Oryzias latipes: one gene and its partners. The protein of the gene in region 7 purifies or fractionates together with the protein of the main gene of each other region. This does not show direct contact. Links are inferred from orthologs where the notes say so. Each region holds a gene or a part of one and is shown on either strand. Other genes may lie near its edges. The genes, in order: vps45, use1, stx7, napg, stx10, stx5 and napa.

Evidence for each region.
Region 1: the proteins of napa (region 7) and vps45 purify together in Homo sapiens (affinity purification with mass spectrometry; 3 studies listed by BioGRID and IntAct, with this or other methods). This does not show direct contact. The link is inferred for Oryzias latipes from reciprocal best matches to the Homo sapiens genes NAPA and VPS45.
Region 2: the proteins of napa (region 7) and use1 purify together in Homo sapiens (affinity purification with mass spectrometry; 3 studies listed by BioGRID and IntAct, counting the BioPlex papers as one, with this or other methods). This does not show direct contact. The link is inferred for Oryzias latipes from reciprocal best matches to the Homo sapiens genes NAPA and USE1.
Region 3: the proteins of napa (region 7) and stx7 purify together in Homo sapiens (affinity purification with mass spectrometry; 4 studies listed by BioGRID and IntAct, counting the BioPlex papers as one, with this or other methods). This does not show direct contact. The link is inferred for Oryzias latipes from reciprocal best matches to the Homo sapiens genes NAPA and STX7.
Region 4: the proteins of napa (region 7) and napg purify together in Homo sapiens (affinity purification with mass spectrometry; 3 studies listed by BioGRID and IntAct, counting the BioPlex papers as one, with this or other methods). This does not show direct contact. The link is inferred for Oryzias latipes from reciprocal best matches to the Homo sapiens genes NAPA and NAPG.
Region 5: the proteins of napa (region 7) and stx10 purify together in Homo sapiens (affinity purification with mass spectrometry; 3 studies listed by BioGRID and IntAct, with this or other methods). This does not show direct contact. The link is inferred for Oryzias latipes from reciprocal best matches to the Homo sapiens genes NAPA and STX10.
Region 6: the proteins of napa (region 7) and stx5 purify together in Homo sapiens (affinity purification with mass spectrometry; 3 studies listed by BioGRID and IntAct, with this or other methods). This does not show direct contact. The link is inferred for Oryzias latipes from reciprocal best matches to the Homo sapiens genes NAPA and STX5.

What each region holds. Positions count from the first base shown.
Region 1 is NC_019869.2:4,532,289-4,536,253, reverse strand, and holds the start of vps45 (vacuolar protein sorting-associated protein 45), read left to right. Parts: upstream 1-1,165; 5' UTR 1,166-1,342; coding exon 1,343-1,435; intron 1,436-1,911; coding exon 1,912-2,046; intron 2,047-2,118; coding exon 2,119-2,179; intron 2,180-2,378; coding exon 2,379-2,458; intron 2,459-3,371; coding exon 3,372-3,440; intron 3,441-3,532; coding exon 3,533-3,670; intron 3,671-3,965. UniProt on the Homo sapiens protein: May play a role in vesicle-mediated protein trafficking from the Golgi stack through the trans-Golgi network.
Region 2 is NC_019862.2:32,661,347-32,665,383, forward strand, and holds the start of use1 (vesicle transport protein USE1), read left to right. Parts: upstream 1-1,237; 5' UTR 1,238-1,244; coding exon 1,245-1,343; intron 1,344-4,003; coding exon 4,004-4,037.
Region 3 is NC_019882.2:21,987,407-21,991,452, forward strand, and holds the start of stx7 (syntaxin-7), read left to right. Parts: upstream 1-1,246; 5' UTR 1,247-1,261; coding exon 1,262-1,406; intron 1,407-2,465; coding exon 2,466-2,558; intron 2,559-2,660; coding exon 2,661-2,730; intron 2,731-3,249; coding exon 3,250-3,340; intron 3,341-3,427; coding exon 3,428-3,565; intron 3,566-4,046. UniProt on the Homo sapiens protein: May be involved in protein trafficking from the plasma membrane to the early endosome (EE) as well as in homotypic fusion of endocytic organelles. Mediates the endocytic trafficking from early endosomes to late endosomes and lysosomes.
Region 4 is NC_019875.2:4,622,009-4,626,056, reverse strand, and holds the start of napg (gamma-soluble NSF attachment protein), read left to right. Parts: upstream 1-1,248; 5' UTR 1,249-1,401; coding exon 1,402-1,457; intron 1,458-1,696; coding exon 1,697-1,764; intron 1,765-1,866; coding exon 1,867-1,951; intron 1,952-4,048. UniProt on the Homo sapiens protein: Required for vesicular transport between the endoplasmic reticulum and the Golgi apparatus.
Region 5 is NC_019859.2:26,813,350-26,817,475, reverse strand, and holds the start of stx10 (syntaxin-10), read left to right. Parts: upstream 1-1,326; 5' UTR 1,327-1,398; coding exon 1,399-1,433; intron 1,434-1,817; coding exon 1,818-1,893; intron 1,894-3,210; coding exon 3,211-3,304; intron 3,305-4,044; coding exon 4,045-4,126. UniProt on the Homo sapiens protein: SNARE involved in vesicular transport from the late endosomes to the trans-Golgi network.
Region 6 is NC_019868.2:11,883,641-11,887,901, forward strand, and holds the start of stx5 (syntaxin-5), read left to right. Parts: upstream 1-1,461; 5' UTR 1,462-1,480; intron 1,481-4,261. UniProt on the Homo sapiens protein: Mediates endoplasmic reticulum to Golgi transport.
Region 7 is NC_019871.2:5,028,618-5,032,667, forward strand, and holds the start of napa (alpha-soluble NSF attachment protein), read right to left. Parts: upstream 2,801-4,050; 5' UTR 2,660-2,800; coding exon 2,562-2,659; intron 1,983-2,561; coding exon 1,903-1,982; intron 1,829-1,902; coding exon 1,712-1,828; intron 1-1,711. UniProt on the Homo sapiens protein: Required for vesicular transport between the endoplasmic reticulum and the Golgi apparatus. Together with GNA12 promotes CDH5 localization to plasma membrane.

The DNA of each region.
Region 1 (3,965 bases), on a different chromosome or scaffold from region 7:
AGGACCTGGCTGTGCACGATGCTAATGTGATCATAATATACTGACATTTATAGATATCTATTCCTCCGTTTTAAATAGTAGTATTTAAATTTGAGAGACGTATATGTTTATTTAGCAAGCAAAATCTATAAATATACAGGTTTATTTAGGTTTCTTCAGCAGACAATGGTGATCAGTCAAACTAACCATAAATACAAGAATGTGACATTGTTGTGGTTTTAACATTTGTGCTTTAAGTAAAAACATTTTTTGATTATACATTTAGTGTACTTATTAAGAGTTTTTGTCGTGTTGTTGCAGAAACCCACACCTTAAGTCCTATCAGTTTAGGAAAAATAATAGTTATTAAACTAATAACACATGCAAATGTTAATATTTCATTGTTAACATTTTTAGGCTACGTTTAAAATAGTATTTTGAAGAAATCTATTTCATGTTTCTATCTTGTTGTACTTTATTTTGGAATCTGGACAGTATTAGCATCATGCTAACAATTGTGAGCCTTTTGTTTTCAACTAATATTTAGTCAGTGGTAATGTCTATTGGCAAAATATATGCTAGATTTAGTCATTTTTACTAGAAAGAAAAAAATCAATGTGTGTTACTTATGGATCAAACAACAGATGACTTTTTACTTTAATTTGCTATTTACGTTTTTGGCCTTCATTTATAGTTGATACTATATGAATTGATTTTTTTGGTAGGATTTAAGCCAATGTATGTCCATATTATAACATCTATTGCTTTAAAACCTGCCTTTAATTAGATATTTACAAAGTAGGCTCACTTTGTTGGCAAAAGGAAGCTGAGAGACAGGATCAGAGGAGGATAAAGGATTATGGAAAAGCTAAGGTTTATGGATGTAACTTAGTAAAGACCATAAAGGCAGTTAGTGTAAGTGAAAAACATCTGAAAACATCAGCAATCCATTGAAAGAAAACAAGAAAATTTAATTGTATGTTTATTTAATTGAAAACCTTAAAGCTTTAAATGATTTAAATGTTGCCAAAATTCCAAGTTTTAATGTAAAAAAAAAAACCCGCACATGTTAAATTAATTCTTCCACGAAAAACGAAGAAATGAGGAAAAAACACCATCGTTAACATTTTAAAACAAGTCCCAGAAGAACTGCTCGGTTCGTCCCTCCCACTTTACAACGCACGACGTGATGACGTCACCAAACCAGGAAAAGACTTTCAGTGTTGTCACAACAGCTCAGTCCTCCTCATAGCACCCCAGAAAATCCCTCAAACGGAGCGACACAGACTCTTGGAGGCTGCTGCTGTTTTTTTTCTTCCTGGTTGATTCGTTTTCACGGTTGTTGTGCGTCAGCGAGGCCATCATGAACGTGACGCTCGCGGTGAAGCAGTACATCTCGAAAATGATCGAGAGCAGCGGGCCCGGAATGAAGGTGCTGCTCATGGACAAAGAGACGGTGGGACAATCAATGACACTTTTACTCCTGTCGTTCTGTCATATTATACTGTTGCCTCACGTGACTATTGTCCTCCTGCTTCCTGTGAGATGTTGTCACTCCTTTGTTTCACTTGGTATTTGTTCTCTTATGCTAACACAGGAGTTAGTGTACAGTTTTAATGATAAACTTAAACAAAAGTAAATAAATGTAAACGTTAATGGCTTTGTTTTTCAAATGAGTCATGTTTGTAAATAAGAGCATTCCAGATCCAGACCGCAGCATCCTCTCCATGCTGAAATTCCCTCCAGTCAGGCACCGGACGGTCAACAGCTGACCATACTGGAGATGAAAACAAGATTTAACAGCAACTGGAACCACATAAAAGCCACATATTTAGCTCTGTTGCTCGTCTCACTAAATGCATATTTCTTTTTATTTTTATTTTTTGGCTATGACATGCAGTTTGAACTGAATCTACCCGTGTTGTGTGTCAGACCAGTATAGTCAGTGTGGTGTACACGCAGTCCGAGATCCTGCAGAAGGAAGTTTACTTGTTCGAGCGGATCGACTCTCAGAGCAGAGACAGCATGAAGCACCTGAAGGCCATTTGCTTCCTCCGTCCCACTAAGGTACAAAACCAGCAGACAGTTTGTTGTTTTTTGTGGAAAGTGTCTTAACGTTCTGTCCTGTTCTGTGTGCAGGAGAACGTTCAGCATCTAATCCAGGAGCTGAGGAGGCCCAAATACAGCATCTACTTCATCTGTGTGTTAAATGTTTATCTGTTGAGAGTTCAGGCAGTCAGTTATTTTCTTTTGCTTCCAGAATAAAAAAAAAATATTAAAGCAAAAAACTCAAAATAACTAAAAATGACTTGACGCAAGAAACAAATGATTAAAAAAGATTAGATGTATGCAAAATGAAATAAGACTCCTCACTAAGCTCCTATTTTCTTGTGTTTCAGACTTCAGTAACGTGATCAGTAAGAGTGAGATCAAAGTTCTGGCTGAGGCGGATGAACAGGAGGTGGTGGCTGAGGTCCAGGTGAGCGTCGGCTCCTACTTGGTGTTTTAAATCTTCAATTTATTGGACATATTTCTCCCCTCATTACAATCCATCTGTACGTTTCAATAACTGGAAATAACCCTTTATTTGGTGTCTTAGCTGTTATTGACTGTGTAACAAAAGTAACTATTAAGTGGCAACAAATCCTTTTAAAGACCTACTCTGATGAAAATCATGTTTGTGGTGCTTTAATCACGTTCTTGTTGCATTTTTCTGATGACGGAGGACACAAATTAAGAAAATTAAGATTAAAATGGCATTTTTTAAGTATTTCTTTAGTCTAATTGTTGTGAATCGGGAGCAAAAGAAAGAAAAAGATCATAAATGCTACTTAGAAAACACGCTGGGCGAGCCACATACACAAACTAATGGTCAAATAATTCCATGTATGTCTTCATTTTTCTTGTCCGAGCTGGAAACTCCAAACGGTACGGCTGAATAGCTCCGATATCGCTCGCCGTTGTTGCTACAGTGTTAAACTGGGGTGTGAGGGGCTGTAAGCTAGCAGGACAACATGTAAACAGGTGGATGATGGCTCCGCCCACAACTCGGAGGCGAATTTCACCACAGGAAACACTTTTGAAATGCATGAGAACCAGAGTGGGACTTTAAAAGATTAGAATACCACAGTTACTACATCAAATTGCCCGTAAAAAAAACTTCTGTTCTATAACAAACACCAGAAATGATGACAGTCTGGAACAACATCAGTGGATGCATTAATACGCTTCTAACTCATTTGTTTATCATAAACACACTTGGAACAATCTTATTTTTTTTTACATCAAAGTTTTTATAAAAATTCTGCATCTCAGTGTTTTAGGTTGTATTTCTGCAGCTCAGAAAGAATCTTAAAGTTCAGATCCAGGAAGATCTTTTTGTGTTTTTCCAGGAGTTTTATGGAGATTTCATCGCTGTGAACCCTCACCTGTTCTCCCTCAACCTGCAGGGAGTCGCTAGAGTAAGCTTTCCTTTTTTTAGCTGCTTGGCCTCACATGACAGATTTGGTTTGCTAAATGAGGATAAAAGTGCATCTCTTTGTTCGTTCGTCAGGGGCGGAGCTGGGAACCCTCCATGTTGAGTCGCTGCACTCAGGGTCTGACATCCGTTCTTCTGGCTCTGAAGAAATGTCCAATGATCCGCTACCAGCTGTCCTCAGACATGTCCAAACGCCTCGCGGAAAGTGTCAAGGTTTACAGAGAAATGACAGCCCATTACCCCACATTCTCACCAAAATGACATTATAATCGGAAGTTTTCAAATCATTTTTAGAAAGAAGTCTTAAAAAGCGGAACTTTAGCCTTCATACTTTGCTGTTTTTCACTAGTAATTGTTCAATAAAGGAAAAATTCAATACTTAAATATTTATAAAAAAAGTACTTTGGATTGTTCTTCATTTAAATAATGTTAAAAAATAAAATTTATAAATAAAAAAAGTTGATTTAGTTTTAGTTTGATGATTCTCTAAGCAGCAACAGTTTGTCAC
Region 2 (4,037 bases), on a different chromosome or scaffold from region 7:
ATAACATGGTGGTGTTTCATCAGTTTGGGGTATTCTGAGTTTGCCTTTGGTGTAGAAAAGACTTTATTTTAACATGTTAATTGGTTTTTTAGGTTTTTGCTTTGCTTCCAATTATTTTCAAAGTAAAAAGGTCATTGAAGACATTAATGCAGAATAACCGGCTGAACAGGATTTGTGGAGTTCAGGTAAGTCTCTGTTTTGGTTCACTGTGTTTAGAAAAACTCCCTGAAAATATGTCCAACACAAGAGGCCCTCAGTTCTGGACAAGACAAGTTTAAAAAACAAAAAAAAAAAACTCCCTGAATTCTGCCTTTTTGAACGGTGACCTTTATTGCACTTTTTCTGCAAAAAGTCACACTAAACATCCATTACTAACAGAACCTTATGTGTGATTAATCCATATTTGTCTTTTATACTATGCACGTTTGAAGTATTAAGAAGCTGTACACTGGAGTCACTGAACCGGGTTTTTTGCCAAGTCAGCAAAATACTCTGAGAAGTACTTATTTAAATATATAAATTATTTTAGTCATATGCATGGACTAGTGAGTACTCACATCGCAAAAAGTAGTCTATTCAGGTATACTACGAGCATGCTTAGTTTACTACTAACTAAGGCCGTATACTTGAACTTTACTTTTTATGTACTATCTATATATTTTGTAAACTTAAAATATTCCAATTTAGTCTGAAGAATTCAGTTAATTTACTTCCTAAACTACCCACACATGGTAAAAAATACTATAAACATATATTTTATACATGGTATAAAATGGTATGAAATAGCTTTACAGAATACTTGCTATACTTTTACTAAAGTATATTTAATTTAAAAAAAAAACAAGTGTATTACTTTTGGCTCTGTTTTTTTTTTTCTAACCTCTAATCTCTTTTTGGTCTGAAAGGGAAAATTGGAAAATTCAAGCGTCCAGAAATGCTTCAACATTTATTTTAAAACACGAAAAGTTTATTGCAACATGAAGACTTACAAAGAAACAAAACAAAAGGCTTCCTTCCTGTTGTGAACATAGAAATACATCCACAGATTATAATATTTCTATCTAAAATACATCTACAGAGGAAACTTTAAAAAAAATTATTGATATATTTTTCAGTGGTAACAAAGTGTGTAGAGATTTAGAGAATTTAGAATTTACCTTTCAAAATGAAACACCCCCCCCCCCCCTCCTTAGCGGTCTTTTCCTGTGACGTCAGATTTCCGCGACCGTGTGTCAGCGTCAAACATGGCTTCAAGATTGGAGATTAATTTCATCAGATTGTTGTCTCGCTGTGAATCTATAGCGTCTGAGAAGCGAGGGGAGACAGAATGGAGGCTAGAGAAGGTAAGGAAGTCTGAAATTATGGGATGTTTTAGCAGCAGAACTGAATAGTGGGTGTTGTTGGGGTTAGCTGTGCAGCTATTAGCCGCTGTTAGCCACGTCGTCACTAAAACCAGACTGGTTTCTTTGAGCTGTAGTTTATGAGTGCTGCACTGAATTACTTTAGTTTAACCAGATTTCTTAAGGAAATTTGCAGAGTATGATACACATTGTGCCTAAAAATGCCAACAGTCATTTAGTAGTTTATTCGCGGGAAAACATTCATTTGTTTTTTTCTTTCCTCTTTCTTAAGTCCTCGTCTACATGTGCAGCTGTTTACACCGTTCATTCATTTTTCATCTTCTAATCCGTTTGTTCTCTTTCGGGGTCACGGGGCTGCTGGAGCCTATCCCGACCTCTCACGGGTGAAGACAGGTCGCCAGTCTGTCATAGGGCCACACTCACACACCCACGCACTCTCACAATCTCACACTCACACACCCATGCACTCTCACACTCACACTCACACACCCACGCACTCTCACACTCACACACCCATGCACTCTCACACTCACAATCACACCTATGGATAATTTAGATGGACCTGTCAAGCATGTTTCTGGACGGTGGTAGGAAGCCGGAGCTTGCTCCTCTTCTGTTGTTTTAGTGCCAAACAGTCCATTTTGTGTCTTTAGTTCAGAAAAAGGCTTTTCTTTCACATGTCGTATTTTTCTCAGGTTCCGGCTCGTCCTGGTCGTGTTCTCAGGGTTCTGGTCTCCAGGTCGGCTGCATTTTAAAGGTTGATCCAGAATCTGTTTGGCTGATCTTCAGTTTCAGCTGCTGATGGAGAACTTAGGTTAAAAATGTCCTGAAAACGTAAGCGGTGTAGAAAAAAGAAAGAAAGATGAAGTGAGTAATATGTGAGAAGATGCAAATGGATGAGGAAGGTCGGCTGATGTTCTGAAGGTTCCGTACCTTTGCCGACATAAATATCTGCTCGCATAGCATCCGGTTGTTAAACTTAATTAACCTGAATTCTTTAACAGCAGGTCTTCTAGATGAAATGTGAAAGTGTGGCTGACCTGAAGACCAGAATTCTGGGATTTTTCTAGAAAGATTCAGACATCAAACTCTTCCAAAGTGTCGAACCCAAACATTTTCTACTGCTTCTTTCCTTCCTTATACATATTTTTCTTGTCTGTTTTGTTTTTTATTGCCTAAATAATTATTTTTGTCTTTATAGTTTTTCGCATATTTAGATTTAAGATTGAACTCAAATGCTGTTTTTAAAGTTAAGTTATAGTTTTATTGCAACGGCGGCTGTGTCCCCGGGGTGCCGGCTTCCTGGGCCCGGCGGTGCTCTCTCCGCACGGTGGGGGGGTTCACATTACATCTGAGCCGGGGGTGTCTGGTCCCTGGGGGGTGGGTTCTGGTCCTCGCTCCTGAGTGCTGGGCCCCGCCAAATTTCCAACTGTGGCCGAGCCTGGTCGGGCGATATTTATAACACCCCTTGTGGGCCCTCTTTCTTTCCCCGGGGTTCCCCCCTCCTGGGCGGGGGCGGCGGGCCCCTGCCTCGCTCCTCCCTGGACCAACCGTGGGCCGGGCGGGTGGCTACCTGGAGTGCGGAGCGGGTCTCCCTTGGGGGGTCCTGGCTCGTACCTGGGGTTGGGGCGGGGGGTTGCCCGGAACTCCTGGGTGGTGGTGGGGTGCTCGTTTGGGGCTGTGGGCGTCCTTCTCCGGTGGGGCCCTGCGTTGGGTTCTCCCGGCGCGGCGGGGGGGCTGCTCTCCTGGTTGGGCTGGGGCGGCGCTCTCTTTCCCTCCGCGCCTCCCTGGCCTCTGGCTCTGGGGGCCTTGCGGCGGTCCTGCTGGTCCTGGCCTGGGTGGCGGGCTTGGTCGCCCGGGCGGCGGTTGTTCCCTGCCGGTTCCCGTGTGGCGTTGGGGGGATTCCGGCTGCCGCTGCTGCTGCGGTGGGGGTCTTGGTGTGGGGATGGCTGGGCACTCTCCCTCCTTCTTTTCACATTCCACCATCCATTTTAGAAGAACATAAACACTCACCTGAGCACAGGTGTTAGCTCACCTTTGCACTAACAGTTTGCATGACTGAAATATTTCACACTAGTTGGTTTAAAGGCATAAGTATGCGTGTGAACACTATCTGTTTTGTGTACATGTCGACAGGTGGACATTTTTGCAGCTAGCAGGTGTGTTTAATACATTTCAGTGTGTGTGTGGACAGGCTCCGCCCCCTTTTTTTTTTTTTTTTTTTTTTTTTTACTACTACATTTGAACCTTACCATAATGATTAACAAACAGTAAACTTGTTGCTGTATGCTGCTTCATGGTCTTATCCCCCTTCCCCTCCTATTATCACCCCCTACCCCCCCCTCTCTCTATCGTCCCTCCCTCTTCTTCCCCTCTTTCCTTTTCCGTCCGGTCCAACACCAAAGATTTTCAGACATGTTTGAAATTAATAAAGTTTGGCCTCAATTACAAAGGGGGTTTATTCAGACATACCTTTGGTTTGTCTGAAGATTAATAACCCCTGTTGTTAAAATAAAATATGTCCAACACAAGAGGCCCTCAGCTCTCATCTGTCTGCCCAGCTGTTGGACAGGACAAGTTAAAAAAAAAAAAAAAAAAAGTTATAGTTTTAAGCTAAATAGACAAATCTCTGTTTTTTTTAGTACGTTGGTGCTCTAGAGGAGATGCTGGTAGCCT
Region 3 (4,046 bases), on a different chromosome or scaffold from region 7:
ATCCAGATTTCCACTCCTCTACTGAGTGGAGACGAAGGGTCCAAAGGGGAGAGAACTGCAGGGGACCTCCACCTGAGGAAGACCTCCACCTGAAGAAGACCTCCACCTGAGGAAGGCCTCCACCTGAAGAAGACCTCCACCTGAGGAAGACCTCCTCCTGAAGAAGACCTCAACATGAGGAAGACCTCCACCTGAGGGATACCTCCTCCTGAAGAAGACCTCCACCTGAGGAAGACCTCCACCTGAGGAAAACCTCAACATGAGGAAGACCTCCACCTGAGGAAGACCTCCACCTGAGGAAAACCTCAACATGAGGAAGACCTCCACCTGAAGAAGACCTCAACATGAGGAAAACCTTAACATGAGGAAGACCTCCACCTCTGTCTCCTTTCCCCCCTCCTTCTCAAATATGTGGCCTTCAGACTCTGTCATATTTTTTGAATAAACATCATTTTGCTCCAGCGCGCTGAAACTATGTTTTAGTCCTTTATTGTTAATGTTATGACTTGTTTTTGTGGAGTTGACTCGTTTCCATCCTAAAGGACCGGGGCGCAGCAGAACCCTGAAGCCTTGTCTCCAGTCTTTGGTGGGAGTGTCCCCTGGCCCCTGCGGCTCCTGCGGCTCTTGGCTCCAGCGGGGCCGGGCCGTGCGCGTCATGTGACCGGGGAGTGGCTGCGAGTCAGGAAACGGCGCAGCTCCAAGTCTCAGCGCAGGTAAAGTCCAAACGATCCCAGAAACGAACCGAACCGTTCTAGAGCAGGTTTTGGTCTCGATCCAAAATCCTACCGCGGGTTTCGGAGCGCTTCACTTTCTGAGGACAAACGGCGAGATGTCCCGAACCGGGCTGGGGGCGGGTGGGGGGGCAGTTGTGTAGAGACCGGTAGTTTCATGAGCTAAACGTCACGTTGACGCTTAAAGTTCGGGGTTTTATAAACAGAAACTCCGGGAGAGAGCAGCCGTCACGGAAGGACACAGACCGTGGTGTTCCGAGAAAGTCCTCTGATTTCCGCATTTGCGGCTGCTGGAAAGACTGCAGCCCCACCGACCGACCGCTGCAGGCGGCAGGCTGCCCCGTAACGCACGGCGGAGGGGGTCTTGACGGGGTCCTAAAAACGCGTCATCATAGCAGACGCTGGAGCGCCGCTGGTCCCGGAAACGCGCGTGAGCAACTGCCTGACCCGCGTCAACGCCCCCCCCCCCCCCCCCCAACTGGCCCCCGATCAGAGCAGACTGGGCATGAGCCCACGTTGGTCCAGCATGGATGGGGGTCAGGGGTCAGCTGGGCTGGTGTTTGCTGCAGCAGCTCTTTGGTTCTGACCTTCAGCGTTTCAGAGTTTCAGGATTTGTTCTGAGAGGAAAAGCAACTTTCCTTCTTTGTGTTTTCACTGCCTCCATCACTCAAAGCTGTGAGGAAGTTTCCATCATCTCCATTTGTTATCAAAACGTTGGTTTGACCTCAGACTGTTGATGCTTATGTCAGACAAACGCTGATGATGGTGTAGTTTTCCCTCCTGATCCTGTTGGTACAGAGTAAGCCCACCTTCACTTCCCGTCATCCATAGCTTTAGCGGCACCACAAGAATGCTGCTCAATATTGGAGCTGTCCATGGATCTATTTGTCTGCAGGTGGGGGCATCAGAATGGAGCAGGGCAGGGACACTTTGGCCTGGCCAGAGTATTTTCTACATCACTAGTCTTCATCACAGTCTTTTTTTGTCTGCTCCTGATTGACAACAGTTTTGGGTTTGGGTTTTGCCAGCACCCGTCCTGCTAGTTAAAAACCTACTCCAATGAAAATGGTGTTTGTGGTGTTTTTACATGTTCTTGTAGCATTTTCTAATGATGGAGGACATACATATATATAGAAAATCAAGCTTAAAACTGCATTTCTGAGTATTTCTTTCTTCAAATCGTTGTGAATCAGGAGCAGAAGAAAAAATGCTGTTTGAAAAACCTCTTAGTTGTTACGTAAACTACAATCAGCAGGTCACCAGCTCCCTGCTCTGCTCTATTCTGATCTGTCAGACAAACAGATCCGTGAACGTCTTTGTCTTCCTGGTCTGACCTGGAATCTGGATCAGAACTGGACGGATGATAGATCTGATGTTGATCACCATTTTTGTTGCATCACTAATATTAGCTTGAGGTTGTGAGGGGCTGTAAGCTAGCAGGGGAGAGTTGTAAAAAGATGGATGACGGGAAGGGGGGGTGTTGTGCTTTTCGCCAACAGTCCCGCCCACACCTTAGAGGGGAATTTCTAATGAATTACTCCCAGTCCGCAGAAACTATGTCCTAGAAAACGACAACGTTTTCTGATTTAGTCTAAAAACAGCAGAATCGTAGTGAAAAGACCGCTGGGAACACTTTGACAATAGATCATAAGATGATGGTTGGGGGACTTTAAAGGTTAAACATGCAGTTTGTATGAAAGCAAGACATAAATGTGTCTTTCTGTGTGAACTCAGCTCTCATCATGGCCTACCAGGCTGGGATTCAACGGGAGCCCGCCGCTTTGGTTCAGAACATCAGCTCCAACATCCAGAGGATCACACTACTGAGTAATGCACACACACACACACACACACACACCCACACAGACCTGTGCACATGCTGAACCCCACTGGACCCCCAGCATCCTCACTCATGGATCTGTGTTCCAGCCTCAGAGCTGCAGAGGGCCGTGACCCTGCTGGGGACGGAGCAGGACAGCAGCCAGCTCAGACAGACGCTGTGAGTTCTGACCGCCTGCTTGATCACACATGCAGCCAAATGAGTTCAAACCGACAGCCGGCCTGTCTGTGGACGGTCACCATGCACACACACACATACGTTTCCCTTGTTCCTTCAGTCAGTTCATTTGTAAAGACTCCTGAATGGCAGGAAGCAGACTGTCTTTATTATTTTAGCATCTAATTCATTCATCAAAACAGAAAGATAACTTTAAAAAGATGTTCTAAACACATACATGTTCATATACACACATTGGAGATGCAGGTTGTTACTAAAGTAAGTTCTATTCTTATAACAGTGTTTTACTTGAATGGGATCATTTGTCCCTGTTTTAAAACAGTTCCATTCAGTGGGTTTAAGGTTCAAAAAGTAGTTTTCAACCTTTAGAATAGTTTTTTTTTACTCTGTACTCAGCTAGCTCCTGAAACCCGAGCATTTTCCACGTCAGGAGTAATGGATTTGTAAGATTTCTGTTTCCTCGAGTGAAACGTTTCACAGATGCTTCCCTCTGGTTCTCAGTCAGCAGAAACAGCAGCAGGGGAACCAGCTGGCCAAGGAGACCGACCAGCTGATCAAGGCCTTCACCGCCCTCCCCGTCGGTCCCGATCAGGTACGAGGCCCCTTCGTCCCACGCACCGATCACATCGAACCCGGTCAGGAGTTTGTGGGAATTGATCAGCTGTGTTTGTGTTTTCAGAGGCAGAGGAAGCTGCAGAAGGAGCGTTTGCTCAATGACTTCTCTGCTGCGTTGAACAGTTTCCAGAAGACCCAACGGCAGGCCGCCGACAAGGAGCGGGAGTTCGTGGCCCGAGTCCGAGCTGGCTCCAGGCTGTCGGTTCGTATTCGCCTTCGTCATTTCTGGGAGTGCTGTGAGCGAGAGCTTTCCGTGCACGCTCACCTCATACTCACACGTTCCACAACCAGGACCATCCGGGTTCTTTCTGAACAACACTGCCATGGTTTCCCGGTTTCAGCTGTTCTGGGCCATAATGTACCATCTGCTCAGAGTTTGGCTGAACGTTCAGACGTAGACAGGTTATTCAGATGAAACCCTCCAGCTGAGGAAATGAGAAAAGCTTCTTCCAGTGACAGTGTGTCTGGGTTTATAGGCGTGTTCAGGATGGAGTGGGTGAGTGTGAGCGCTGTGAGGAAATGTTTCAGATGGTCAGGTGAGCAGATGCACCTGTCCCAGCCTGTTCCAGACCCAGCATGAGCCTTCCGCTGGTTGGGGGGCAGATCTCTTTATGTTGATTCATTGATGGTTGTGGTTCTTGCTGGCATTCAAACATCTCCATAAAGTAAGAACAGGCATTGTC
Region 4 (4,048 bases), on a different chromosome or scaffold from region 7:
GCTCTCAGAATCTTGAATTTAATAAACAGAGTTTTGAATTAAATCTAAGAAGCATGAACTTTGAATGCCTGCAAGCCACTTGCTGCAGTCAGTACTTTGGAGTAAAACATGGATTGGATCTAATAAAAAAGTTCTATTTCGGTGTCTTTTTGCCATCGAGGGTTACTGGAAAAGATCATTTTGTTAATGGAAGAACAGAAGATGAGTAAAAAGAGATTTTTTTAATTTAGAGTTTGCAAACTAAAGAAATACACTCTATGCTGAAGTTTGAAACTTTTATCAGATGTTCAGATGTGATTGAATTTATGGACCTATTCTGTTTTTGCTCTTTTTAACAGGTTCTTGTAGCATTTTCTGATGATGGAAGATATGTATAAAAATGCATTTCTGAGTATTTTTATTCCTTCAAATTGTGGTGAATCAGGAGCAGACGAAAACATGCCGTTTGAAAAAGCTTGTTAATGTTATGTTCAAACTACAATCAGCAGGCTATAAGCTCCCTGCTCTGCTCCATTCTGATTATCCACCGTCAGACCAATGGATCCATGAACGTCTTCATTTTCCTGGAATGCTGGATAACTCTGATACTGACCACCATTTATGTTGCGCCGCTAATGAGGTTGGGGGTGTGAGGGGCCATGAGGTAGCGGGAGAGCATGTAAACAGATGGATGATGGGAAATGAGCACAGGCTCACTCCATGACATCAGCGCGCCCACAACTCAGAGGTGCATTTCTGATCAACTCCTAGCGCCCTGCAGAAACTAGGACACAGGTTTATTGATTTGGGCTAAAAATTGCATAATAATACTTAAAAGACCTCTGGGAATGCTTTAAGAATAGATCAAAAAATAATTTGACTGGGACTTTAAATAATAGAGGTTGTCTTACCTCTCCATGCTGTTTTACAGGCAAGTGTAATCTTCTGGTTTAAAATAATATTAAAAGTGTTCCCATGCGCTAATCAGGGATGTTTTATCAAAGCCAAATTCTATCAACAACGTATGGCCAGTAATGTGAAAGTCCATGCCAAAAACTGTTGCCAAAAATTACAATTACACAAGTCACTCTAGCTGAGTAAGAATACTGGATTTTAATCAGAAATCTATCAATAAATTGAGTTATGAACCACCACTTAAAAAATAAAACAGTAGAACGAACAAATATTAATGTACAACTGTACTATACAATACAGAATCTGTATTGCAATATTTACATAAATAAACAACAGCTTATTCGGCTGTGTTGATTCGGGTGTTTTGCTTGTCCCTCGGCGGCACCCGTAGCCTGCAACATTCGATGACGTCAGCGCTGAGGAGGAGTTCCTGATGATCCAAACATCGCCGTACAAAATATTCCTATCCGTTTCTCGATATCAGTACGACTGTGATTATTTCACAGCATGGCTGCACAGAAGATAAATGAAGCTCACGAGCACATAGCTAAAGCCGAAAAATGGTGAGTTCCGACACGAATGCTGCCATTTCCGGCGCAGAAAGAAAAGACCAGTTTGTGATCCTGATTTAGCTAGCTAGCAGCACTGCAGGCCACTGGCTCAGTCTGACAGAACACGGTTGATCCCTGACGTATTGCACGGTTGTTAAATCTGTGCGTTTCTCCTAACACTCATGAGTCGTCTGAATTCGGTGACCGGGATTACCGGAGCCGTTTTTCACCGACTCCTCCTGTTTCTGTAGCTTAAAGACGAGCATGACGAAGTGGAAGCCGGACTTTGACAGCGCAGCGTCGGAATACGCCAAAGCAGGTGAAAGCCTCACGTCCGCAACCCCAGCAGTCCCAGCAGACGAGGAGGCTGACATGTCATGATCAATCAATCCCGCATGTGTTCTTGACTCTTCTCCTGCAGCTGTCTGCTTCAAGAACGCAAAGCAGTACGAACAGGCGAAGGATGCTTACCTGAAGGAGGCGGAGTACCACACGGAGAACAAGACGTATCCTCACATGTGGGGCTTAGCTTTTAGTGTCTTTGCTCCATTAACGAGGACACCTGTCTTGTTAATGCACCCTATCTCTACTGAAATGTGACAGTTTGTCATGTCATAAAATAAAAAGTTAAAGTCCCTTCATCTGTCACACCTACCTAGACATGTGACATTTGTTCTCCGCATTTGACCCATCATCCCCCTGGGGGAGCGGTGAGCTGCAGACACAGCCGTGCCAGGGAACCATTTGGTGGTTTAACCCCCCCAATTCTATGGGAGCATTTGTGTAGCATAATTAAAAATAAAAGTCAAAACCAGAAATGCTTTTTCATTTTCAAAATGTAACTGCATCAGATGACTCAAAATTTAAATGAAAAATTAATCTTAAAAACCGCTTATTCTGTGTCATAATTAAAATGAAAATGCAAAGAGGGGATTGCATTTTCATTTTCACATCCACCCTGTGAATAGTGTCGCATATTTCAATTCGACTTAGCATTTCCAGAGGGGAGGCGGGGCGATGACGTCACTGCTATCTCCGTGTGTCCGGTTGTTACGAGACTCATGCTAGGAGCAGTGTAGCTTTGTGTTAGCGGCAGAGGAGAGGGCTTTGTGATGGTTGTGAACTTCTGATGATTTTACACAGCTTATCAGGACTACGTAGCAGCATTTCCGCCTTCTGTGGTCATCCTTCGGACGCACTGTGGTACGTCAAAAACGTGCTAAAAACGGCTACCGGTCCGAAGACAAAGCTAGTCTGGGGGCAGTTTGGACAAAACGTTGTGCGTCCGAAGGAGGACCACAGAAGGCGGAAATGCTGCTACGTAGCTACGTTGTGTACAATCATCAGAAGTTCACAACCATCACAAAGCCCCCTTCTCTGCCGCTAACACAAAGCTACACTGCTCCTAGCATGTGTCTCTTCGCAGCCGGACACACGAAGATAGTACTGATGTCATCGCCCCGCCTCCCCTCTGGAAATGCTTATTCGAAATTATTATCGCGACAATGTTCGCAGGGTGGATGTGAAAATGAAAGTGCAATCCCCTTTTTGCATTTTCGTTTTAATTATGACACAGAATAAGCGGTTTTTAAGATTGATTTTTCATTTAAATTTTGAGTCATCTGATGCAGTTACATTTTGAAAATGAAAAAGCATTTCTGTTAATCCATTTTAATTGTCAAATTAGACATTTCTAAATGAATTTTGCTACACATTTACCAGAGAACTTTTTGAAAATGAAATGTCAAACACCATTTTCATTATCATTTTAATTAAGTGACAGAATAAGCAGTGTTGAAGAAGAAAAAGAAAAAGCGGTTTGGCGGATTGCTTTTTCATTTTAATTTTGAGTCAAAAAATGCAGCTTCATTTTGAAAATGAAAAAGCATTTCTGGTTTTGACTTTTAGTTTTAATTATGCTACACTAATGCTTCCATACGGGTGCATACCCGATCTATATTTCTGACCTTTTAACTCCCTACACTCCTGCACGTTCTTTGAGGTCCACTGAAAAAAATCTTTTATGTGTTCCAAAAACTCATTTTAAAACAAGAGGAGACCTCGCCTTTCAGGCAGTTGCTCCCCGACTTTGGAACGACCTCCCCCTGTCTCTGCGCCAGATTGACTCAGTCGAGTGTTTTAAAGCTCAAGTTAAGACCTTTTTATTTAGGAAAGCTTTTAGCTGACTTTTACTTGTGTTCACTTTTGCCTGTTTGTTTATTTCTATGCCTGTGTGCGTTTTATTGGGTATCGCTACTGATTTTATATTGTTTTTACGTTGTGAAGCACTTTGTGAGTCGTTCTCTGTGAGAAGTGCTATATAAATAAAGATTACTTACTTACTTACTTACTACAATCCAAGCTCTTAATACTGAGTGTCAAGCAGGGAGGCATTCATTAGGTCCCATTTTTAGGGTCTTGGGTATGTCTCAGCCTGGATTTAAACTCATGACCTTCCAGTTACAGGGTGGACACTCTACCACAAGTCCACTGAGCTGCATAAAGACGTTTATGGACTAAAAAAACACAAGTTCAATAATCACAATCATTGCTATATATGATATGATATTATTTGCTTTAGGACATTTTAAAAGGGAAAAAAA
Region 5 (4,126 bases), on a different chromosome or scaffold from region 7:
ACTTTTATCCTTTGAGAGTGAGCAACAATATTAATTTAAAGTTGGGTCCAACTGCAGTAGTTAGATTGAATCAACTTAAACTTATTAGTTTGAACCTAAGTACATTAAGTATGACCAATATGATTCATTTTTGTTCAAGTAACGCTGTCTAATCATGTGGAAATCATTTCCATAATTTTTTTATGTTCATTCAAAGTGAACTTTTTTTGAGTGTAGTTTACCTGCTTTGTTTTGTCCTTATTCAATAAAGGAACATAATTTTACACATTGTGTTTTCATATTTTAATGGAATGTGTATTATTTTATATGACAGAGTACTAGGGCCCACTAAGGCAAAAAGGATAAAGTCATAAATTTACGAGGCTGGTTCTTTCTGCAGAAAAGCAACATATTCTTTTTACAGTTTTGATAGTTATGAAAATGTGATACTTCATATTCTGGCACATCAGCATGTCTTCGTTTATGAAACCATACTGAAGGACAATTTCACGAAATGCCCCACATCTGTCATTTTAACAACTGTCCTCCTTTAAAACAACTGGTTACAATATTATGACTTGTCTTTTTTTCCCTCTGTGGCCCTAATATTCTATCATTTTATATATAGCCTTATAGTCTATGGGACACTGTAAATTATCTAATGATAGCAACATCATCTAAAACTCATTATTTATCCAAAATGATTGAAATTAATGATCACGAACGTTTAAATAATGACAGCGGGTCTAGTTATATGTGATAACAATGTATAGTGAGCAATGAAATAACTATTGGTTTCCATTTGTGGCGACTGCTGACTGACATTAGGGATGAGATTAAATAGATCCTGGAATTTAGCCTGGTCTGGAGCAGGCTAGCTCCACAGAATAAATCTCCATGGTAATTTATACCATAACATATCCTCCTGCCCCCTATCCAGCTTTAGTGCAACCGGATTGAGGATCAATTGAGCCAGGATCACCAAGATATCCCTGCTTAATCCCTTATCGTACTTTTGTGCAACAGGCCCCAGGTTATGTTCAGAGCATGAGTTGCTATGGGAACTAAGCATACACTTAAAATACCTCTGGTTTTGGAACCGAAAGCTGAGGTTATACGTTTTCCTTAGCCTAAACCTACCGTGGTAATTCACATAACCTGCTTTTTGGAATACCCCCCAGGTCAAATAGGGACATAGCCTACATATTCGTTTTATCGCGGGTATAACCAGATTCCACCGTTTTATTTTGTTGTTGGTTTTTGTTTCTTTGTTTTTCTGTTTGTTTGTTTTGGTCCTATCGCTTTGTCATTTCTTCCTCAGAGACAATACTTTTCCTGTGTCGTGTTTACGTTCCAGATGACGTCATCACGCTACAAGAAACATGCGCAGGCGCACGGCCTACCAAGGAAGGAAGCAAAATGTCGCTAGAAGACCCGTTTTTCGTTGTGAAGGGGTGAGTTGAAAGAAACCGAGTCAAAAATCAACTTTATCCTGAGAATGTTGTTAAATGTGTAACTTTTTTAAAAAGAAAAATGTAAAATATGTTTTTGTGCTTCTTGAAAAGTTATGAAAGTTAGCGCTGTTAAAGCGAAGTAGCACCGATGCTACAGTGAGTGAAGAGAGGAGAGGCGTTCAGGCTGTCAGTGTCAGTGTGTTCATGTTTGAGAAAAATGTTCTGAGAATTAAGGGGTCGTTCACTGAACGCGTAGGCTGCTTTCAGAATAAGGAGACGCAAAGGAATGCGTCATTTTAACTAGGAGAACAAGAGAAGCGAAGAAGCTGTTTTTAATTGAACAAATAACTGTTTGTGTTGTTGTTGTTGTTTTCTGCTCTTCAGGGAGGTGCAGAAGGCGCTGTCCCGTGCCCGGAGTCTGTTTGATAGATGGGAAGAACTGTTGCAGGATGGGACACAAGTGAGCCTTTAAAGACTGTTTGGCATAGACATAAACATCAAACAACAGTAGGGGTGTAACAATTCATTTCAACAACTATTCGATTGATATTTTAATTTGTGGCTAACGATACAATTCAATAATCAATATGAACAATTCGATTCGATTTGATTCACTGATCTAAAATCAATCCAGGACATCTTTACCCAAATTAATTCAGTCATCGTGACTCAGAGATAAATAACTGGGTACTGAACAGTGCAGGTGAGGTTTTTCAGATTTGTTGTTTTCCTTACAAGATAATTAAGTGTAAATTTAATATGTGTACAAACAAACAAGTAAACCAGAATTAATATGTAATCAATTCACATTTTAGTTTGATAAAATTCCGCCCACTGCTGTTTTTCCACATCAAAATAATCCAAACAGAACATTATTAGAAAATTCTACCACACTGTATGGTCACATGTCTTTGCAAAATTCAAAGTGTTTCCACACATTGGACTGTTATGATGGTTTGATCATTTTTCGTTGCCATCCCGTGTGTGTTGTCTGTGTTGTTTTAGTGCGCTACGTTTTTAGGGGATTTATTTTTAGAATATTCTTAAAGCACATTTTCTTATCTACTGCTGCACAACAGTGTGTAGTTGCTGTACAGAGGCGTTTTTAAAGCATATGATTGCATTTACACGTGTAGTTAATTTTTAATTGGATTCTCCACCAAAGTGGTCAAGGCTATAACTGATAAGAAAATAAGTCATAATGACAGAAAATGTCATCATTGACTTGACTTTCGTGCATTTTTATTCAAATTAATCTGCTGCAGCAAGAGGATCTTATTTGACACAAGGTTTATTTTATTTTGAAAGGAATTTTTATGTGCTGCTGTAAAAAACAAAAGAAATGAAAGATGTTTTACATTGAAAAAAACAGTACTGTTATTGTTCAATTATTGTAAATATTTTAAAGCTACAAATGAATGGCTTAATGGCCACAAAAGCAAAAATACGTTATATTTTTCTAAAATTGAAGTGGGAATTTGCGTATCTCGCTGGGTTTTTTTTAATAAGAAATTAAATCAAATGGCTCTTTGTGTGTTAAAGGTTGCAGACTCCTGGTTTACAGGAATCCCAAGCTAAAGTTGGGATTTTAACTGCTGTCTTGAATTTCCTTTGGTTACTGTGTCAACCAGAATTCCTCAGAGTCTCAAAGATTTGACTCCATACACTTAAATAAACAGCTTTAATGAAAAAAAGCCTTTATTTTTTGTAAAACTTAACCTTTATTTTCTTAATTTGAAGTGTTTTAACCTACGTCGTACTTTCCTTGTCATCTCAGGTGAGTCGAGATGAGCTGGATTGGAGTGCCAATGAGCTGAGAAACTGTCTGAGGGCCATAGACTGGGATCTGGAGGACCTCAGTGAAACCATCAGTATCCTTTATGCACAGACAACTCTTTAACGCCCCACTCCAATCATCTTTTGATCTATTTTCAAAGCGTTTCCAGTGGAGTTTTAACTATGATCATGATGTTTTTAGCCAAAATATGAAAAAAAACAGTTGTTTTCTAGGACAGTGTTTCTTCAGAGCGGCAGGAGTTCATCAGAAATTTGGCAGAACTGTAGGTGCGGAGCAACCATGCCCCCTCGTTTCTCTCCTCGTCGCTGAGAGCTCGGAGCAGGGAGCTTGTTACCCCACCAACGGATTTTCTTTGTAACACACAAGCTTCTTTTTCAAACTGCATTTTTTTCGTCTGCTCCAATCTTACAACCATTTGAATTAAGAAATACTCTGAAATGCAATTTGAAGCTTTATTTTCTTTTTCTATGTCCTCAATCATGAGAAAAATTGTTAAAAACAGAAACACCATTTTCATGGGAGTGGATCTTTAAACGTTATTGTAGGTCAACTAGCATCAAATGGAGCTAAATAACCCTCTGTTTCTCTGTGTTGAAGGATAGTCTTTAATGTTCTACAGTAGTTTTTGTCATCTTGTGAAACAAATCAACAGTTAATCCATCAAGTTGTCTACATTTATTACTCCTATGAAGGAGACATGTTTCCAAGTTTTTAATTTTGTTTTTTTACAAGAAACAAAATTTAGTACATTACATTTTTAAAAAATTGTTTTAGTTTTTTTTCAAATGTTGAATTCTTCCTTGACCAGCTCAGGCATCGTAGAGTCCAACCCAGGAAAGTTCCGGTTGGGTGAATATGAGCTCCAGGAACGGAGAGACTTTGTGGAACGAACCAG
Region 6 (4,261 bases), on a different chromosome or scaffold from region 7:
CTGGAGAGGTGCTGCCCTCCTAAGCCCGAGGCCTCTACAGGAGCTTCCAGAGGTTCTGTGGGAAGACCGAGTTTAGACACCAGACCATGATCAATTAGGCTCTGTTCGGCTCCAGAATCTATAAGTGCCCTGAAAGCATGAGTTTGGGTTTTACAGCATATTCTGACAGGAATGCACAGGAAGCTTTGATTTTCCTGAGTGCTGAGGTTGCCCCCCCGTGACCTGTCACTCAGCGGGGGGTTTTGGGAATTTAAACGCAGAGTGCACTGTGAAACTAAATGTCCATGGGCTCCACAATAAAAACATGAACCCTCCTCTTTTCGCCTCTGTCGTTCTTCTGCAGATAGTTTAGAATGATCTCTGTATAGGTCCCTCAGATGGTTTGGAGCTTGCGAGAAAATCCATTCTGAGGGGCGACTGGGCTGTGATGGTAGAAGGGGCCGGATCGCTGATGGTTTTCTTCGGGGTCTGTTGGCGATCATGACGTCGCTCGGTGAGTCGGATGTCCGAGCGGAGGGCTGCTGAAACGAGCTCTTCAAAGGAGTTAGTTTCAGGCTGAGTACAGAGATGGTCTTTAATTTCTTCATTCAAAGATTGATAAAAAATGCCCTTTAAAGCCAGATCTGGCCAGCCTGCTTCGACCGCCAGAATGCGGAGTCAATGACGTGCTCACTAACAGTCCGGTTGTGTTGTTTCAGGTTAAGTAATTTACGTGTGGCTTCTTCCCGTTTACGGGGTTGGTCAAAAATCAAACGGAATTCGTTTAGGAAGTGTTCATAGCGAAGGTGACTAATAGGGTTAGCAGAAACAAAGGCTTGAGCCCACCGAAGAGCTTTCTTCCGGAGAAAATTTATTATAAGGGTGATTTTACTGATATCAGAGTGATAATGCCTGGGAGCCTGCTGGAATATGAGTTGGCATTGAAGTAAGAACCCGCCACAGGCTTCTACGTTGCCTAGGAACGGTTCAGGCTGTAACCGGAAGTTTTCGGGTGAGTTGACAGGACCGGAAGCGGAAGCTGCATTGTTGCCGGAAGACGGAGTAGAAGCTCCTATAGCAGGGTTAGCATGTCGCTCGGTTAGCTCGGAAAGCGTTTGGTTCATACCTCTGATGCGAGAGATCGTGTCCTCTTGGACTGTAGTGACGCGGGTGACCGCACTGGAGAGGAGTTCCAGGAACCGACCTTGTTGGGAGACAATATTTTGTAAATCTTCCGGGCCAGCTGGGTCGGGGTTTTGGCTAGTTGTTCGTTCTGTCATGACTTGTCAAAGCTAGACAGACCCAGACGCTGAAACCCAGAAGGAAGACAGGAGGTGAGTGAAGGTAAATAATAGATTTAATTTTTCCAGCGGATGAATTTGTCCTGTTGTGGCGGGGAATGGCAGGAACGGCAACTCCAGATGAGAGGGTGGATCTTGACGTGGCTGGAGGTTCGGCTGAGGCCAGAGCTGAGGCCTGATGTATGGAGCGTTGAGAGGAGGTAGGTAACTCCGGGGATAACTCCGCTTGGGCTGAAGCTGAAGCTGGCGTCCACTCGTGGGATATGTAGGTCCTGGACATAGAAAGACTAGAGTTTAGACGAGGGTAAAGATACGTAACAGGAAAACTTGAAAGAGACCAGACAAGCACCATCAGGGGCAACGAACTAGCGTTGAATTCTGGTCCTGGCGCTCCTTAAGTAGGTCTGGCAGGTTGATGAGATGAGTGAACGCAGCTGGGACGAATCAGTGGCCAAGCAGAGAGGGGAGGGGGAAGATAGCTGACAGAGGCCCCATGACAAGGAGTTCACTAAAATTCACCTCTGAGCTTTTGGCAGGACTGTTGGCATGAAGTAAGCCTGCCCTGACATCATCCCTTTGTTTACACTCTCTCCCACTAGCCTACAGCCCCTCAGAACCCCAACCTAACATTACAGATGCAACAAAAATGGCGAGCAATATCGAAACTATCCTGCCGTACAGTTTTGAGCCAGATCTCAGCTCATACAAGGAAAATGAAGGCGGAAATAGATCTAGTCGTCTACAAGTGGATGCATCAGAATAGAGAGGAGCTCAGAGCTTGTGGCCTGCCAATTGTAGCACCTATGTCACTGCTTCAAGCTTTTTCCAACAGCATTTGTTTTATCTGCTCCTGATTCATAACGATTTGAATAAAGAAACACTCAGAAATGCAGTTTTGATCTTAATTTTCTTCATAGATGTCAAAAAAACGCCACAAGAACATGTTAAAAACACCCAAATCAGGATTTTTATTGGAGTGGGTCTTTAATGTGAAGCACAACTGACTACTATATAATTATTGGACGAATACTGATATAAAAGTTAGGCTCAATCATTTTTTCTGACATATTATTGACATATATACTATTTAATACCATAAAACAATCCAAAAAGCACACAAAGGGAGATTTTCTGAGTGGTTTAAAGAAAGGTGTGACATATGATGGAACGGATAAGGGAAGGTACGACGGTACAGGGTTCAGACGGGTGGAAGGCTGGGGATCTGGGGCTGGAGGCATACTTGTGGTCTGAGCATGCTTGGGCCTGTCAGAAAAAGGATGCAGGTACCAGCAGGAGGTTGAGAACATCAGAGAGCAGCAAGATCGTATCTTTCTCTTTCCATGCTGTACCTGAGTGTTGAATCACCTGAGGAAGCAGCCCATCCTGTCCTTGTCCAAATGTCTGTTCTGTCTTTTTGCTGGGAAAGATTCAAAATGGGTCTTTCAATTATAAAATTTCATGTCATTGGTACATGAGGTTTGCTTTTATATTTCTTATTTTTATTTCATTATCAGTGTTTTGCCAATTAGAAAGACATTTTGTTTGAAAGGGCATAAGAACAAAAACATGAAGTCATATTTACAACTTTTTGTAAATGCATCCTTGACATACTTATTGGAACTTCATTTAATATGTAAAACTTATACACACATTCTACTGCCAGGATGCATCTCAGAAATTGCTGAGATTACTAAAATTACCAAATATAGCCAATTAGTCTCTAAATCCACTTATTCCTGTTCAATGCCATCGTCTACCCAACCACTGAGGAGGGAAGGTAGAGTACATCCTGGACAGTTTTCCAGTCCATAGCAGGGCAACACGGAGACAAACAACTACAAACGTTCACACCCAAGGGACTATTAATAACCACCAATTGACCTACGAAGCATGACTTTAAACTGTGGGAAGAAATCAGAAGAAACCTACGCATAAACGAGGAGAACATGCACACTCCACACAAAAAGGTGCAGCAGGGTTTTGACCCAGAGCCTTCTCCCTGTGAGATGAGAATGGCAACAACTACGCCAGCACCACCAACGTATTAGTAATAAATATGACACCTATTTTTTTATAAACGTCTTAGAAAAAATACAAAAACAAAGCTTGTGTTTAGGCCCCACTACTTATTGGACCGTTACAAAGAAATGGATAAACATAACGTTTGAAACGTGTCCCTTAACTCAATGCTTTCTTAACTCGAAATAAGTAAAGTGAACTGGGTCCCTATTATTTTTTATTGTTTTATTTATATGTTTTATTGTTTATTTTAATGCTATTTTAAAGGCCTAAAAAGTATATAGAAATCACAAACATGTCATAACATGTATTTGAGAACACGTGTTGAACTTCAAGTCATGTCTGAAGAATACCAAGGAGAGGACCAAAATAATTTTGATCCATTAAGATAATGAATGTTTTTATAACTTGGTTCTTTGTGTTGTTTACATTTTCTGCACTTTTAAAGTCCCACTCCAATCATCTTTTGATCTATTGTAAAAGGGTTCCCAGTGGTATTTTAATTATGATTATGCCGTTTTTAGCCCCCAAAAAAACCAACGTTGTTTTCTGGAACATGGTTTCTGCAGAGCCAGATGTCAGCTCAGTTGAGGAAGCCAAAGACGCACTTGTATATAGTTATCTGCAAGTGGACGCATCAGAATGGACCAGAGCTGGAAGCTTGTGGCCTGCTGATTGTAGCACAACTACAAGCTTTTTCCAGTGGTATGTTTTCATCACCTCCTGGTTCACATTTGAATTAAGAAGTACTCAAAAATGCGATTTTAAGCAGAATTTTCTTTTGATATGTTCTTCAGCATTAGAAAAATGCCACAAAAACATGACTTAGGCCTTATACAACACATGTAAAGCAAGGCAATTTCATTTGCATATCGTTTTATGCAAACAAGGGAAATTAAAAATGCTTTGCAGAAATAAAATTGTTTTAGCTACATACAGCAAAGTAAAAAAAAAAAAACTAT
Region 7 (4,050 bases):
TGCACATTAATGAACATCTATCAAACAATGATAGGCGTAAACATGCTGGATTATAGCAATGATGCTAATTTGCATCCATAGTCCCTAGGCAGGAAACATAAAACAGGACAAAACAAAAGACAGAGTCACAGATCCAATAAGAACACAAAAGGGTGGCACATTATGAGAGTTAAAAGTCAGTGGCTACAGGACTGGAGGATAAGGATGTAAATGGGCATAGCATGTAAACGACACCAAACGTGAAAGGATGCATCTGCAACGCTGATGGAAACGTTTACATTCTTTTCCTGGAGCGATGATGAAGGTGGAATGTGTGAGTTGACCTGTAGCATGACAACAAGTCCAATCATGTCACCAGCAAAATAAAGAACTACTGACTGAACCAGATGGTTAGTTAGCCATCAAACTCCTAACAATTGTAAAGTCAGGACTTCACACACCGAACGTTAAATTTCATGGGAAAGAATATAGAAGGAAATTAATAAAAAATATGAATTCCTTAATTCTTACTTCCAGTAGGAAAAAGAGCCGTGAAAATACATCATATTTCATCAAAAAAATAATTCTTTAGTGTGCCAAAGGTAATATATGATCACATATATGGATAAAGTTTACTCTGAAAGGCGTAACAATAGCATGATATATAGGCCCTACAACTCACATCTGCCTGCAGCTCAACTCCTCCATCCTCCATGGGAGTTTTAGCCCCCCCCCCAGCAACAACAGGTACCTGTTATTGCTAAATAAGATTCCCACAGTATTCCTCTAAGCCCGTCAGACAAATTATATCAGGTTGATGCAGGAAAGGAGGAGACAGTGGAAATGGAGGTAGTTGTGCATTAAAAAAAACCCAGAGGAACCAATCATTTTCCAGTAATATCCCTACAACTGTTTTGGTTTTGGCTACAGATATTTATGATCTTTCATATTCCTAACTACTCAGTGTTTTATCAGGGCCTGTTCGGATGAACACAGATCTAATATCATGGAGATTTACATATCAGTAAAAATTAATTTTCCACAGTACACATGACCATCTCTCATGGCACATTTGCTTCATTAAAGTCCTCCATGATCAGAAGAATGTCAGAATAACATGTTAAAAAACATTAAAAACACCCGTTTCATCTGATCTGCTCTTAAATGGGGGATGCCCAATATATCCAATTAAAACCAGACTGTATATTACACAATTTAAAATGAAATATTGCATCCCCGCAGCATATATTTGCATATATTTATAGTGAAAGTGTCAAACACATGTGATCTGCTATTTTTAATTTATTGACATTGTTTTATAACATTTCACCAGGCTTAGAATAAGCTAAATCAAGGCTTTTTCTTTCATTTCTTATTAGCAAACTTAAAAAAAATGTTTCTCTATGTTTTTTGTAGTTGTTTTTGCAATGCACACACCAAATATCGAACCAAAACAAAACCGTGACCCAAAAATGGAGGTTTGAATCAAATAGGGAAGAAAACGAACAGTTGCATCCCTAAAAGGCAATGCGTGTCCACATACATTTATGTGGATATTTATTTGATTTGCAACACATTTGATGAATGAAAACCTTTTTGTTCTTGAAAAAATTATTTTAAAAAAATAAATGAAGCAAGCTCTTTATAAAGCAGTGTAATTTCTCACAACAACAGAACAGGTTTTGAGAGTTAAAAAATAAATATATAAACCCACAGAAATGAAGAACATTACCTTGGGGGTCTGCTTTTTTGAAGGCATTTCCAGCGTCTATGAGGTTAGTTGCTGCATCGTGTTTACTCTGCATCTGCAGGTGAAGATGAGCAGCCTGCGCGAAAGCATTTCCTGCAGCTGGAAAGAAATGTTGCAAGATTAAGGTGTTTACAGATAACAGCGGGGAGAAGGGGGGCTTGTTACACACTTACCAGACCAGTTTTTAGCCATTTTGTACATGTTGGCTGCTCTCACATAGATTTCGCAGGCCTCTTCCGACCTGGAGGAACCCCTGTGAGATAACATACACGCGCATTTAAAAAAAGACAAATTGGAAGTTAAAACCGTGTTGCATAAATATGCAATATATCTCTGCAGACTAAGTGTAAATACCACCTTAAATCTTATAGAAAACACAAATGTGCGGCTGTAAACCAATGACTGACATGTGATCTGCAGTACACCTTTATTCCGGAAGGTGGTGCTGCAGCATCGGCACAAGTACACTTTGAACTTGAGACAAAAACAATATTTCCGTTTAATTTAAAGTTAATACATAAACACAACAATCTTTAAGTATAGTCATTAACAGAGCGGGTATAGGCAATTGCTGTGAATGACAATAATGCTGTTTACAAACATTCGAGGCAGAAAACCCGGGAATGGTGGCGTAACAACATCACAGACACAACAGCATCATTTAAACCCAAAACTAAAATTAAATGAAAGATTCACCACTCAGAGTTAAAGGTATTCTTTAGTTCCGCTATACAAACGGAGTGATAACTGCTTAGTCAGACACCTTCCGCATTGTTGGCCCCTAGACTAGAAAAGCTAGCTAACACTTACGCTAGCTTTCTGACAAACTTACCCAAACAGCGTCCCAAAAAACGACTTCGACGATTTTATTTTTTTGTCCGCCTCCGCCATCAAAGCTTCCGCTTCCTTTTCTTTCCCACTGTTGTCCATTTTCGTGCCTTGTCCCTTAAATCTGTGGACAAATACCTAAATGTAAAAGTCAACAAACTTGCTAACTGCTGCTAGCTGCGTCGTCACATCACCAGTTACAGACCAGCAGTTCCCCTGTCACGTGACACGGGAGAACGGAAACTCCTGCTGCATTCAGGAACTCTTTGTAAATAAGACTTTTCTGTGTCACTTAATACTATTTCCCCCAACCTTGAGTAATATTTTAAGAAACATACCAATTACAATCTGTTCTTACGGGATGAAAAACTTTATGTTTTTGTTTGTTGCACACCTTCATTTACCAAAATTAAATAATTAACATGACTAAATGAAAAGACCCTTAAAAAATAAAAAATCTAAAATGCTAAGTAACAAATAACTCCTACTTTTACTATGTATTTCCTAAATGTCGGGTCTTGGATTGTGCAATAGTGTTACTTGCAAAACAGCAGTTTCACAATTTTCATATCTTTACCATTTGCGTCTTGCTTTTAACGTGATGGGAAAAAAAACATTTTACACAGCTTCTTGAGATAATATTGGGGTTTTTAATGGGTCAACTTAAAATTCTGATTTAAAAATATGTACCCAACAGAAAACCCCCTTATGTAGAACTGCAAAGTAAAATGTTGTTCTGCATCTAAAAAAACAACAGAAATGTCCCCCAAAACTTTTGTAAATTTCTAAAACTTTCTCTGACGGTTAGAAAATGGTTTACTTTGGACATGTTTAGTTCGTGCATCAGTGACAGAGTGGAGTCAGTTTGCAACAATTTTTTTTAAATTTATTTGACATGTAGTAAGGGAAAAACTATTTTTTTATTTCTTTATTCGTACTTTTTTTAAATATATATTCTTGGTCTGTTTTTCAATCCCTTTTATAAACGTTTGTTTCCTTTATTGTTATTTTTTATTTCTACAACACTTCATGTTGGGTCACAGGGTTTTAGCCTTGAGTCTTTTTCAGGGTGTCATCCCTAAAGAGGGATCCTTTGTCCCACTGCATTTCAGGGACACCATGACACAATGGTGCCTTTGGACTATGAAAGAACACAAACCAAATATGGAAGAATTAACATCTCAGTCAGATTTGCAGACAGCACTTTCTTGATTGTTTTATTGACTTTTAATGTGGGATAAAATTGTTATCCAGTTGGTTTGTAGATTACAAATTTGACTTGATCTCTTGACTTGTTATCATCACTGGCTTAAGAGGGCTAAAAAGTCTGCTATCAAAGTGAGAAGGCCTGAGTTCGAATCCTGGCCAGGTTTTTTCTATGCAGAGTTTCCTTAATTTAGCTTGTTTTGTTTTTCCTGGTACTCTCCTGGTATTGCATCCTATAATATGCCTCTAAATTGTCCCAAGATGTGATTGGGAGTGTTTGTGTAAAT